3 linked regions of the Canis lupus familiaris genome follow. The protein of the gene in region 3 interacts with the protein of the main gene of each other region in a pairwise test. Links are inferred from orthologs where the notes say so. Each region holds a gene or a part of one and is shown on either strand. Other genes may lie near its edges.

Evidence for each region.
Region 1: the proteins of TNS2 (region 3) and keratinocyte proline-rich protein interact in binary tests that used the Homo sapiens proteins (3 or more experiments, as listed by UniProt). The two-hybrid records come from large-scale screens. The link is inferred for Canis lupus familiaris from reciprocal best matches to the Homo sapiens genes TNS2 and KPRP.
Region 2: the proteins of TNS2 (region 3) and CRKL interact in a two-hybrid assay, tested with the Homo sapiens proteins (2 studies listed by BioGRID and IntAct). The link is inferred for Canis lupus familiaris from reciprocal best matches to the Homo sapiens genes TNS2 and CRKL.

Annotation. Positions count from the first base shown.
Region 1 is NC_049238.1:62,243,228-62,246,971, reverse strand, and holds the start of keratinocyte proline-rich protein, read right to left. Parts: upstream 2,482-3,744; 5' UTR 2,474-2,481; coding exon 2,457-2,473; intron 995-2,456; coding exon 1-994.
Region 2 is NC_049247.1:30,747,123-30,750,866, forward strand, and holds the start of CRKL (crk-like protein), read right to left. Parts: upstream 2,713-3,744; 5' UTR 2,180-2,712; coding exon 1,869-2,179; intron 1-1,868. UniProt on the Homo sapiens protein: May mediate the transduction of intracellular signals.
Region 3 is NC_049248.1:44,535,707-44,539,450, reverse strand, and holds the start of TNS2 (tensin-2), read right to left. Parts: upstream 2,484-3,744; 5' UTR 1,731-2,483; coding exon 1,401-1,730; intron 1,318-1,400; exon of another isoform or gene 521-1,317; coding exon of another isoform or gene 446-520; intron 1-445. UniProt on the Homo sapiens protein: Tyrosine-protein phosphatase which regulates cell motility, proliferation and muscle-response to insulin. Phosphatase activity is mediated by binding to phosphatidylinositol-3,4,5-triphosphate (PtdIns(3,4,5)P3) via the SH2 domain.

The DNA of each region.
Region 1 (3,744 bases), on a different chromosome or scaffold from region 3:
AGCGCAGCCTGAGGAAGGACCCCGCGGGCAGCCACTGCTATAGATGGGCTCAGAGCGGCGTGGTGGGGTGCAGTAGTTATAGGAGCCCGAAGAACACGCAGATGGCAGGCAGCGGCTGTGGAAGGGCTCAGACCTTCGTGGTGGGGAACAGCTGCGGTAGAGAGGCTGCAGCGGGCCAGGCTGGAGGCACCTGCTGGTGCTCTGGGAGCGGCTGCGCTGAGAGGAGAAGCTCCCATAAGAGCCTCGGGCCTGGCACTGGGGTGCACAAGTGCTGAATGAAGCCCGGGACTGACGCTGGGGGGCGCAGTTGCTGTAGGCGGTCCTGGATTGGAACTGGGGGGTGCAATTGTTGTAGGAAGCTGGGGACTGACCCTGCAGGGCGTATCTGCCATAAGAACCTTGATACTGACGCTGGGTGGAGAATTTCCCCTGAGTTTGGGAAACTGAGGGACAAGCCACATAAGTCTGGACAGGCTGAGGAGCTGGACAGGGTACAAAGTTCTGGACTGGGTATTCCACAAAACAAGTTTCTGTATAGCAAACTGGAGCACATTCTACATAACACGTCTGAACAGGGCATGGACCTTCACACTGCACATAGGAAACCTCAGGCTGGCATAGGGCCTGGCTTTGAACAGAGGAAATTTGAGACTGGCATGGAGCCTGGCACTTCACCTGGGTGGTCTTAGATGGGCATGGAGCCTGGCACTTCACCTGGGCGGTCTTAGATGGGCATGGGGCCTGGCACTTCACCTGGGTGGTCTTAGACTGGCTCGAAGCCTGGCACTTCACCTGGGAAACTTGAACTGGGCATGGTGCAGGACACTCTATAATTTGCATCTCACGAGGGGCTTGGACTACCACCTGGCTGTTGGCACTGGGCGACTTGGAGGAGTAGAAAGAGGAACCCTTCACACAGCACTGGGGAAGCGGCAGGCAACATTGAATCTGCTGCTGGTCACACATGGTTCTGATGAAGGCAGGTGAGTGAGACCTGACAGTAGAAAGATCAGTGTTAGGAGGATGAGTTGTTGGGGGAGAAGGATCTAGGACCAAGGGAAAGACACTGCTTCTTCCCTATACTTTCCTCCCCAACTATCAACCTTTACCCAAAAACACTTACTGAGTTAGAGGGATCCATTATTAGTCACCACTGCCACTGAGACCTGTCCTGATCTAAGGGAGCTTCAAAGGCACAGCCACAGTTGTAGGCATCCAGAGTCTCCCCTTGGAGGGTGGGCACAGAGTGCAACTGCACCCCCCTGCGTCAGTCCCGGGCTTCATTCAGCACAGAGTGTCTAACACAGAGTGTGTTGAAGACCTTAGGATTCCTTGTCCTAAGTGGCAGGAGAGCACTCTACAGGAGGTAGAGATAACACTGCTTCGGAGGCTGTAGCCCAAAGTGGGGTCTCCACACCCACAGGAGCTTGGATATCCTCACATACATACACTGGTGACACATACAAGTGCAAACATGTAAAAACGAGCAGGTGGGAGTAAGTGTTCAGGTTCCATCTGTGCCCGAAGCACCCACTGAAAAGTAAAGGATCCAGTCCATTATTGCACAGCTCAAACCCAATATAAATGTTTGTTTCTCCACATTCAATCTTTTTAGGTGAATTTCTTTAAACAACCCTCATAGACATATGCAAAACACACACAGACAAAACATGCCAGCCTTGGAAAGGCTCAGAACCAACATGGCAATCTGCCCAGGCAGGTTGCTGTTCTAAATTATCTGACATGGGACAACCTGCTACTTCAGAAATGTTTTCTCCTTAGCTCCTCGTAAAGGCAAGGAATGAGTGCCTAGATGGGGTAACCCAGAAAGTGCAAGATTCCTAAATCACAAGACTGACTGACGTTCAGCCACACATAAAACCCTGCACAGCAGAAGCATACAAACGTGATTTGGGGGATACAAGCATACCCCAACATGACACTTATCCAGGGAGAAACAGAAGCAATCTCCATTCCTCTGCCCTCCCTAAATTCATCTGTTTGTATACAGGCAGCCCTGTGACTGGCATAGCAGGGTGGCTGATTTAACAATTAATTCACCCAACAAAACACTTCTCAATAGGCTCCAGAAATACTGAAAATGCTTCTAATGAAAAGCAAAGCCTTCCATTCTCCATTTATAGAGAATATCTACAAACACATGCCCTTAGGGAAAGTAACCCCCTGACACACAACTCTGCTCATAAGGTGTAAATGCATCTTTTCCAGGAAAAGAGATCCTGATGTGGGAAAATGCTACTTGAGGAGGAGACCACTATTATCAAAGGCAAATACACTGACTTCAGGCCCTCAGTTCTTTGCACAAACTCCACAAATATTCTTATTATATCTCCTAAAAGTCTACCAGACATTTCTCCTCAGGTTTATGTATCACTCTTCCTTCAAGCACTTCCTGGAAGGTGCTTGAAGCTCCCCCACCTCCCACCATGCCTTACCTTGTGAATCTGGGCATCCCCTGAGATGCATCTCTAGCCCAATCCCGGGACCCAACCCCTAGACTCACCCTCCTCACAGCAAGCAGACATTCAGGCTGAAGGATCTGGGCAGAGGGCTGTCTTTATATAAAGAGCTCTGGGCCTGGCTTAATCCATGAGACAGCTTATTGGCATCTGCCTGGCTCATCACCCAGGTTAGCATTCCAGCAGCAGTCCCCTCCCTGTATGCCTGACCTTGCAGTCACCTACAGAATGTGGGAGTATCTCACTTCAATGTCAAAGCTTCTTGACTCTGAAGGAGCAGATTCTTGTTTTCTTCCTCCTTCTTCCCCTATAAGTCTCTCCCCCATCCCTAGGAGATCTAGTGGTGGGGATGATAAGGGGTGGCAAAGCTATCTTTTGTCCTGAAAGATGATTCCAGGCCCCTGACTTCCTCCTTATCTCAGATTTTCATCAGATAAATATAAAAGAGGAAAAGTTCCCCAACTTGAAGCAATTAAAGTCACCTCAAAGATAGAGGCATCTCTACAGAACGAAGAGAACATGGTCAGAGCTGAAGTTAACATTCTAGGTTGGCTACTTACAGCTGAGTGACCTTTAAAACCAACAGGAGTATTAATTTACTCAACTGAAAATAAAGATAATTAAGCCTTCTTTCCAGAGTTGTTGTGAGGGTTAAGGCAATTATTTTATGTAAAAGAATCCAGCCAAGAATGATACTCAAAATATCCAACATCTACTCAGAATAAATGTTAACCATAAGCAACCAGGCACAGCATTTCCTCCTACTCCTAAGCTGAGCAACCTGATGGCTTTATAGCCGGTGCTCAGCTAATGCTACGGTATAGGGTTTAAAGACAGCATAGTGTAGGACAGACACACTAACTTGGCATCCCAAGATACAGTCAGGATGAGACATCTTTTTATCTTTTGCCTACATAATTTTTGCTTATATAATTTAGTAAGTGATCATTAACAATTTAGAAATAGAGAAATTATACTTAAGATTCTAGACATCCAGCTTTTCTTCTAAATCAAAAGATGTGGCAAACGTGAGCCTAATTTCCATAAACCTGAAAATTAATAATTCCTCTCTTAGGGCATATACTTTTATGTTCTACATATACTTATATGTTCTACAATTCTCCACCATTCTATAATATATCTGTGATGCAATGCACAATATAAGTTTCTTTTTATTATTTTACTTAGGCTCTTGTTTTTCTTTGCTGAGATTAAAGGAAAGTGAAATAATCCTTCTACTTGGATCATTTCACTATTTTATATA
Region 2 (3,744 bases), on a different chromosome or scaffold from region 3:
TCCATTTAGTTCAGCAGTTAATCTTATAGTCATTATACTGTCATGGCTTTGTTTCTTCTCTCTTACTCCACAGAAGCAACACTTAGGCATCCAGTGGGTGCTCCTTAATTATTATAGCTTTTAATGGTTAAAGCTCAGTGCAACATCTTATCAGCAAATCTATAAAATCAGAAACAGGTCATTCCAAAAAAAAAAAAAAAATCTATATCGGCAGCCTATTCCTTTTTTAAAAAAAAATTTTTTTTTTAAATTTTTATTTATTTATGATAGTCACACAGAGAGAAAGAGAGAGAGGCAGAGACACAGGCAGAGGGAGAAGCAGGCTCCACGCACCAGGAGCCCGATGTGGGATTCGATCCCGGGTCTCCAGGATCGCGCCCTGGGCCAAAGGCAGGCGCCAAACCGCTGCGCCACCCAGGGATCCCGGCAGCCTATTCCTTTTAAACATAAGTTCAAGAACCAAAATGGACAGCAAAATACTTTTTATTTAAAAAAAAATTCCAAGCAATTTCTTCAGTTCAAATTTGACATAATTTAAATAAAAGAAACGTGAAAAAATACTAAAGACAAATTAAAGCAAGTAATCAAATAAAATAATGCATTTACTTAGAAAAGAGAATGCTGCTTGCTTTAAATTATTAAACTTACAAATGTACAAAAGGTATACCTAAAATTAAACTAGGACAGAATTAAAGTATCGCTCAAAAATTTCCTTAGTAATTTACATCCTAGCTTCATTCTTCTTTAGAATATAATCAAATACATTTCTGGCCTATTAATGGTCCACCCTGGGGATAAACTATAAAATAAAAACTCAAAAAATGCGTCCTCGGGGATCCCTGGGTGGCGCAGCGGTTTGGCACCTGCCTTTGGCCCAGGGCGTGATCCTGGAGACCCGGGATCGAATCCCACGTCGGGCTCCCGCTGCATGGAGCCTGCTTCTACCTCTGCCTATGTCTCTGCCTCTCTCTCTCTCTGTGACTATCATAAATAAATAAAAATTAAAAAAAAAAAATGCGTCCTCGCTAAAGCCAATGCATCATCTTCTTAAAATTTCTGTTAGTTGGGATGCCTGAGTGGCTCAGCGCTTGAGCGCCTGCCTTTGGCTGAGGGTGTGATCCCGGGTTCCCGGGTTTGAGTCCCACATTAGGCTCCTTGCATGGAGCCTGCTTCTCCCTCTGCCTGTGTCTCTGCCTCTCTCTTTCTGTGTCTCTCATGAATAAGTAAATAAAATCTTTAATAAAATAAAATAAAATGTGTTAGTTATAAAACAAAAGGTGTCTAGGTAATTCAAATTTAGCACCAAGGTATCCTACATAGTTCCGCCACTTCACTGTGAAAGGTTTTGTTCCTAAACGCTCAAGCATTTTCATTTGTCGATTATTCCAAAGGCTGCAGTCCAAGAGTTCTTAAACTGGAGCAGGGAGCCCAAGAACCTTGAACGGTGTGCAAAGTTGTGTGTACGTGCATTTTTACGGAGGGAGAACGCCACAGCTGCCCTGAGATTCTCAAAAAAAAAAACAAAACAAAACAAAAAAGGCTTAAAAACAACAAAAACGTCTCGATTAGGATAACCCAATAGATAATGTGACGAACGGCACAAAGCGGGCATTTTAACCAGGCAACCGCCGTTACACAGGTTTAAAACCCATCCCCTCATCCAACAACCCAGACCCTGGCACTAGCCTTCCGATCAGAATGCCTTCTGGAAAACAATTTGGTTCAGAATGGGGTGAAAGGAGTTCAATCCCGCTCCCCCCACCCCCTACCCGGCGGTCGATCCCCCGCGAACCAGCCCCTGCTGTTCTCGACCCTCCGCCGCGGTCCGAGGGGGGCTGTGCGCGCGGGGAGTGCGGGCGCTCGCGTACCTGGGCGCGGGCTCGATTAGGGTGGTGGTGTCCAGGTAGTGGATCTTGTAGAACTCCAGCAGGGCCGGCAAGTGGTCAAACTCCTGGTCCCCGATCTTAAAACGGCGGTTGGGCAGCGAGTTGATGATGTAGTGGGAGACCCGCGAGTTCTCGGACACCGACAGCACATAATCCCCAGGGCAGGTGGAGGAATCGCGAACTAGGAACATTCCGTGGCGCTGGCCCTGCAGCCGGGTCTGCGCCTCCTGGCGAGACACCGGCCCCATGTACCAGGCGGAGCGGTCTGAGGAGTCGAACCTGGCGGAGGACATGGTGTCTGGCCGGGGCTCTGCGGCGACTCGGGGCGGCGGCTGCTCTCGGCTGTTCTGGACGCCTTCGCCCGACAGACGGCTCTGCGGCCAAGGAAGGGCCTCTTGGCACACCTCGAGGCGCGCTTAGAGGGCCGAGCCAGCACCTTCGTCTCGGCTCCGGGCCCGCAGCATCCTCTGCCGCCGCCCGCCTGCTCCGGGGCCGCCTCACGGACGGAGCCGGCCCGGGGAATGCAGGGCACAGCCCGAGGTCGGGGCGGGCGAAGCTGAGCCGCAGCGGAGGCCGCCCCGGGGTTCTGGGGCTGCCCGGCGTACCGGGGGTGCCTCCAGCCACTCCTGGCCCGGAACGCGCGACTCCGCGCCCCCCACGGCTCTGCACTGATACCCGCCGCCACGCGAAGCACCGGACTCCCAGGAGCGTCGCGCCTCCGGGGCGGTTTCGCCCAGCCCGTTCCCAAGAGCCACAGCAACAAAATGGCGGACGCGGGACAAGCGGCCGGCCACCTCCCCCTCCGCTCAGCGCGCTCGGTCTGCGCACGCGCGAGCTCTGGCTCTCAGCTGCCGCCCAGGCCCGCCCCGTGACGTCGCGCGGCGCGGCCAATCAGGAGCGCGGTCGTGACGGTCGGGGCGTGCGCCGCGCTCCGCCGCTCCCGCGTTCCGGGAGGAGGCGGAGGCGGCCGGGGAAGCGGGGGAGGCGAGGAGGTAGAGGCGGCGGAGGAGGAGGTGGCGGTAACGGCCACTCCCTTCCTGGGCTGCGGTGCGCCGCCGGGGGCGCTGCCGCTGCGGGCTCCCCCCCAGCTCCGGCTGGAAAACAGCTGGAGTCGAGAGGGAGCGGCGTTTCGAAAACCTGCTCCGCGAACAAAGCAGAACGTGCATGCAGAACCTCTGGCCGTGGAGGCGTGGCACTGAGGTGACCTGGCTGGCCCAGGGGCCCCGGGGGACCCGCGCTGAGGGAGACCCGCGGGCGGACACGCCTCGGTGGGTCGAGGTGGCTCTGGAAGGACGCGACCGCGGGGGCTGACGTGACCAAAGCCGAGGTGGCCTGATAGGCTCAGGGACCCAGAGTGGCCGGGAAACTCGACAGCCGCAAAAAGGGGTTGCGAAGGTCGGAGCGACAGGATTGAGTGGCCCGAGGAAGTCCACCTTTTGGTGCAATCTGGCCATCATTAGCGTTTAACTGATGAAATGCGGACTCCCCCGGGTGTGGCCCGAAGATCTCGTCCGGCTCCAGTTCTGCAGCTTCTCGAGCTAATCTCCTCGCATGCCCGCCCCCTGGCTGACCTGCTTCGGCCGGTCGTGGTGGCCTGTTTCTCCACCCTGCCTCCCCTCCCCGCGATGAAATTTTAAGAGATCAGGGATCTTGTCTGTCTTGCTCGCTTCTGGGCCTAGCACAAGGTCTGGACCTGACCTGATGCTCAAATATTTGTTGAATGAATTGACTTTTGAAAAAAAAAAAAAAATCCTCAGGCTATTGGTGCCCGATTATTGGTAGCACCACCCCTAGAACTGGACAAACGAGAAAGCCTGTAAAGAAAGGGAGACGCCGGCTATAACAAACCTATACAGAT
Region 3 (3,744 bases):
CGGATGATGTCAAGGGCAGGCAAAGCCCCAGAATCTAAAGCACGTTCCAGACCTGGCCGCCGCGCCCCCTCCCTTTGCCACTTCCACCCCATTTCCCCCAAACTTCTTAGGTTCAGGGAAGGGGCTTGATATCCTGCTCTGGGGCTCCAGGATAGTGCCTGGAGAGGTCCCACAGTGAAGTATACCCAGTGCAGCTCTAGGGGGCGGGGATCCCCAGGCCGGCCTGAATTCGGGCCGGGAGGTCGGCGGAGCCGGGGTGGACGCGGGGTGGAGCGGGGTGGACGCGGGGTCTGCTCTGATCCAGACTGTGCTGCTCGCGCACAGCCCCGCCGCTCCAGAGGCAGAGCCCCAGAGCGGCAGAGCCGGGAGGGCGCGGGCAGGGTCTGGCCCAGTCCTGGTCCCGTCCCGCTGCCCACACCTCCTCCCCGCCAGCGGGCACTCCTACCCTGCTGCTGGCCCGGCTGCTGTCCCTCCTCCCCAGGGCTCTGAGCAGCCTCTCCACGGGGCCGCTGGACTTCATGGTGTCCGGCGGGCTGGGGCGCCGACCGCGGGCCCGAACAATGCTGGGGCCCGGCCCGGGGCTTCCTGGAAGCGGCCTGGCGGAGGCAGCTGCTTCCCCTGGGTGGAGGGCAGGCTGTCTGGCTGGTGTGAGGAGAAGCCCGGCCCTGGAAGTGGAGGGGAGTGCAGGCGGGAAAGGGGCAGGTCGCTGCTCCAGGAAGTGGGGGGGGGAGGATGTGGGGGAGGCCAGGAGATCAGATTCCCAGGATCTACCCTGCTGGGAGTGTCTGTCCTGGATCTTTGGCCCCCGGTCCCCTTGCTCTGGAGCTGCTCCTTGCAGGGATCCACCCTGTCCAGGGATCTACAAGGATCCTGAGATCCAGCCCCCACCTTCCGTGGGGCGCGTGGGGGCAGGGTGAGGATTCAGGTCTCAGGGCAGGGCTCAAGGGCCAGTGGGGAACGCTGTGTCCCCGTCAGGCCAGCCTCCCAGCCTGGACTGTCGGGCTCTCAGGGGACCTCTGGTGGGGAGGAAGGGGGAGCTGGGAACACTGCCCCAGCCAGCCCAGCATCGGGAGTCCTCCTGAGGGGCAGCTTCCTGCCTCAGTTCCCCTGGTTGGGAAGTAGGCCTCCTCCCCCTCCCCCTCCCCCACTGGAAGGCCTAATTCGCCCCAAGATGAGCCTTCAGCTCCAGACCAAGGCCTTCTCCTGAGAGCACCCTGCTGCTCTGTTCCTGACAGTCCCCATGTCCTCCCCACACCCTGCCCCGCGCCCCCATTCCTTGGCCTCTTCCGGCCAGACCTCCCGGCCCCTCAGCCCCTCTTCCCAGGCTGCTGTGTCAGCCCCCCACCCAGGCCCTAGGGCTGGGCCCTGCCCCCTCCCCCCCGCCCCAGCCTGAGTACTACCTTCATGGCCCTCCTAGCTCTGCTCTCCTTGCTCAGCAGCTGTCCCAGGCCTAAGGACTGGACAGGAGGCCCCCTCCCAACACATGCTCCAACCCCCTCCGTGGGCCTCCTGCCTCCCTCCTGGGAACAGGGCCAACTTCCTGTCCCGGGAGTCAGGGAAGGAGGTGGATTGGGGCCTTGGAAGTGGGTGTGTGTGGGGGGAGTGATCTGCCAAAAATATATGGGGTTAAGGGCCACGGGGTCCTCAGGCCTAAGCCTTGGCCGGCAGCCCTTAGGCTGGCTGGAGCTGTCACTTGGAAGAATGTGCCAATGTGCCTCCCTCATTTGCATGGAATTTACTGAATGTACCAGAGCTCGGGCTTCTCCCACCAGGTCCTTAGGCTTCTCCTGCCTTCGTGCCCGAGGGCTGGTTTAATCCTGCCTCCTCTGGGACGAGCCCCCTTCAGAGTCCACTCAGGACACTATTTAGGGCCTGCCTGGCAGGGGTCTGGGCTGAGGCTTCGCCTTTGAAGCTCTAATTCCCCTTCCAGGTCAGGAAGTCTGTCCCCAGAGTACCTTGGCCCGGAGGTAGCTCTGTGGCCAGGCTTGGGTCCCTAGCGTGTAACTGGAGAGGGGCACTGGCTGTGCAAACCCACTCCCATCCCACCAACCCCGGCTGGGCCCCGGGACATTCCAGGGCCCCGGCCAGTGTGGGCAACTGGGCCCGGCCTGGTCTGGGTCACAGTGGAGCTGCAGGGAGGAGGAGCACTGTGGTGGTGGCTAGGTTGGGGGGGCCCCTGATTAGGAACCCCCTTCTCCCTACACCTGCCGCCCCCAGAGGGCCTGAGAAGTCCCCTCACCTGGTGGTTCCCTCTGGGGGGCTCCCTAACCCCTGGATCGGTGGCGGGGAAGCGGCTTGGGTCCCTCCCCACTGGCGGGGCGATGGGGATGGGAGAGCCAGGGTGGAGGGGGAGGGCGCTCAGGGCAGAGACCCCTGGGACCCTCACCCTCCTGCTGCCTGGAACATTCCGGAGCCGGCCAGTCTCTCCCCGGCCCGGCCCCCCTCTCACTCCCAAGCCTCGGGTTTGTTTGGAGAAACCCCTCCACCCACACTCCCCCTTCCTGGAAATAGCTGTGGTTGGAGGAGAGGCCGCGAGCCCGCCGCGGAGGAGGGGTGAGGCCCGGGGAGGGAGAGGGCGGGGAGGCGGCTGCGGCGCGCGGGGGCCCGGGTGGGCCGCGGGGCCGGGACGCGGGACGGGGGGACGGAGGACGCGGGGGCAGGGGGACGGGGAACGGGGGGGGCAGGGGGACGGGGGACGGGGGGCAGGGGGACGGGGGACCGCCGTGTGAGCGCGGGCCGCGCCCCGCCCCCTGCTCCCCTTCCCGGCTGCCCGCGGCCCTCGGTCCCCGTCCCCATCCCCGTCCTCATCCCCGTCCCCATCCCCGTCCCCATGTCCCCATCCCCGGCCCATGGCCCCCCGTCCCCATCCCCGTCCCCGTCCCCATCCCCGTCCCCATCCCCCCGTCCCCGCCTCCCGAGGGCCCCGGCCCCGCCCGGCCTCCGTGACGCCCGGGCCGCCGCCCTCCCGCCCGCGCGGCGCGGCCACTCACCTGCGGGGGGCGCCCGGGGGGGCGGGGGCGCGCCGGGGGGGCGGGGCAGCAGCAGGGGGAGCCCCCGGGCCAGCCCATCCCGCCCGGCCCGCGCCCCGCCGACGCCGCGCTCGCCCGCTCCCGCCCGGCCCGCGCCCCGCGCCGCCCTCGCGCCGCCCTCCCCTCCCTCCGTCGGGCTCCAATCCCCACGTTCCCCCGCTCCCCGCCCCTCCCCCCGCCCGCTCCCTCCCGGCTCCCCGCCTTCTCCCGGGGCTCGGGCCGCGGAGGGACGCGGGGACGGGAAGGCCGCCCGGCGGAGCGCGGGACACGGCGGCCGAGCCCGGAAGGCCGCGCACACGGTTCCGAGGGCCCCGGGTCCCCGCGCCCCAGGCAGACGAGGACGCCCCGGGCCGCCCCGGGGCCCAGGCCGCGACCCCGGGACCCCTGGGACCCCCGGCGGCCCAGCAGCCCTCGGCGCTTGGAGGGGGCGCCGGAGCCGGGGCTGGTGCTGGGGCTGGTGCTGGGGCTGGAGCTGGAGCTGGAGCAGGGGCTGGAGCAGGGGCTGGAGCTGGGGCTGCTGGAGCTGGAGCTAAATCTGGAGCTGGAGCTGGGGCTGGAGCAGGGGCTGGAGCTGGAGCCGGGGCTGGAGTTGGAGCTGCTGGAGCTGGAGCCTGCGCTTGGAGCTGGAGCTAAATCTGGAGCTGGAGCTGCAGCTGGAGCTGGCGTTTGGAGCTGGAGCTGGGACTGGAGCTGGAGCTGGAGCCAGGGCTGGAGC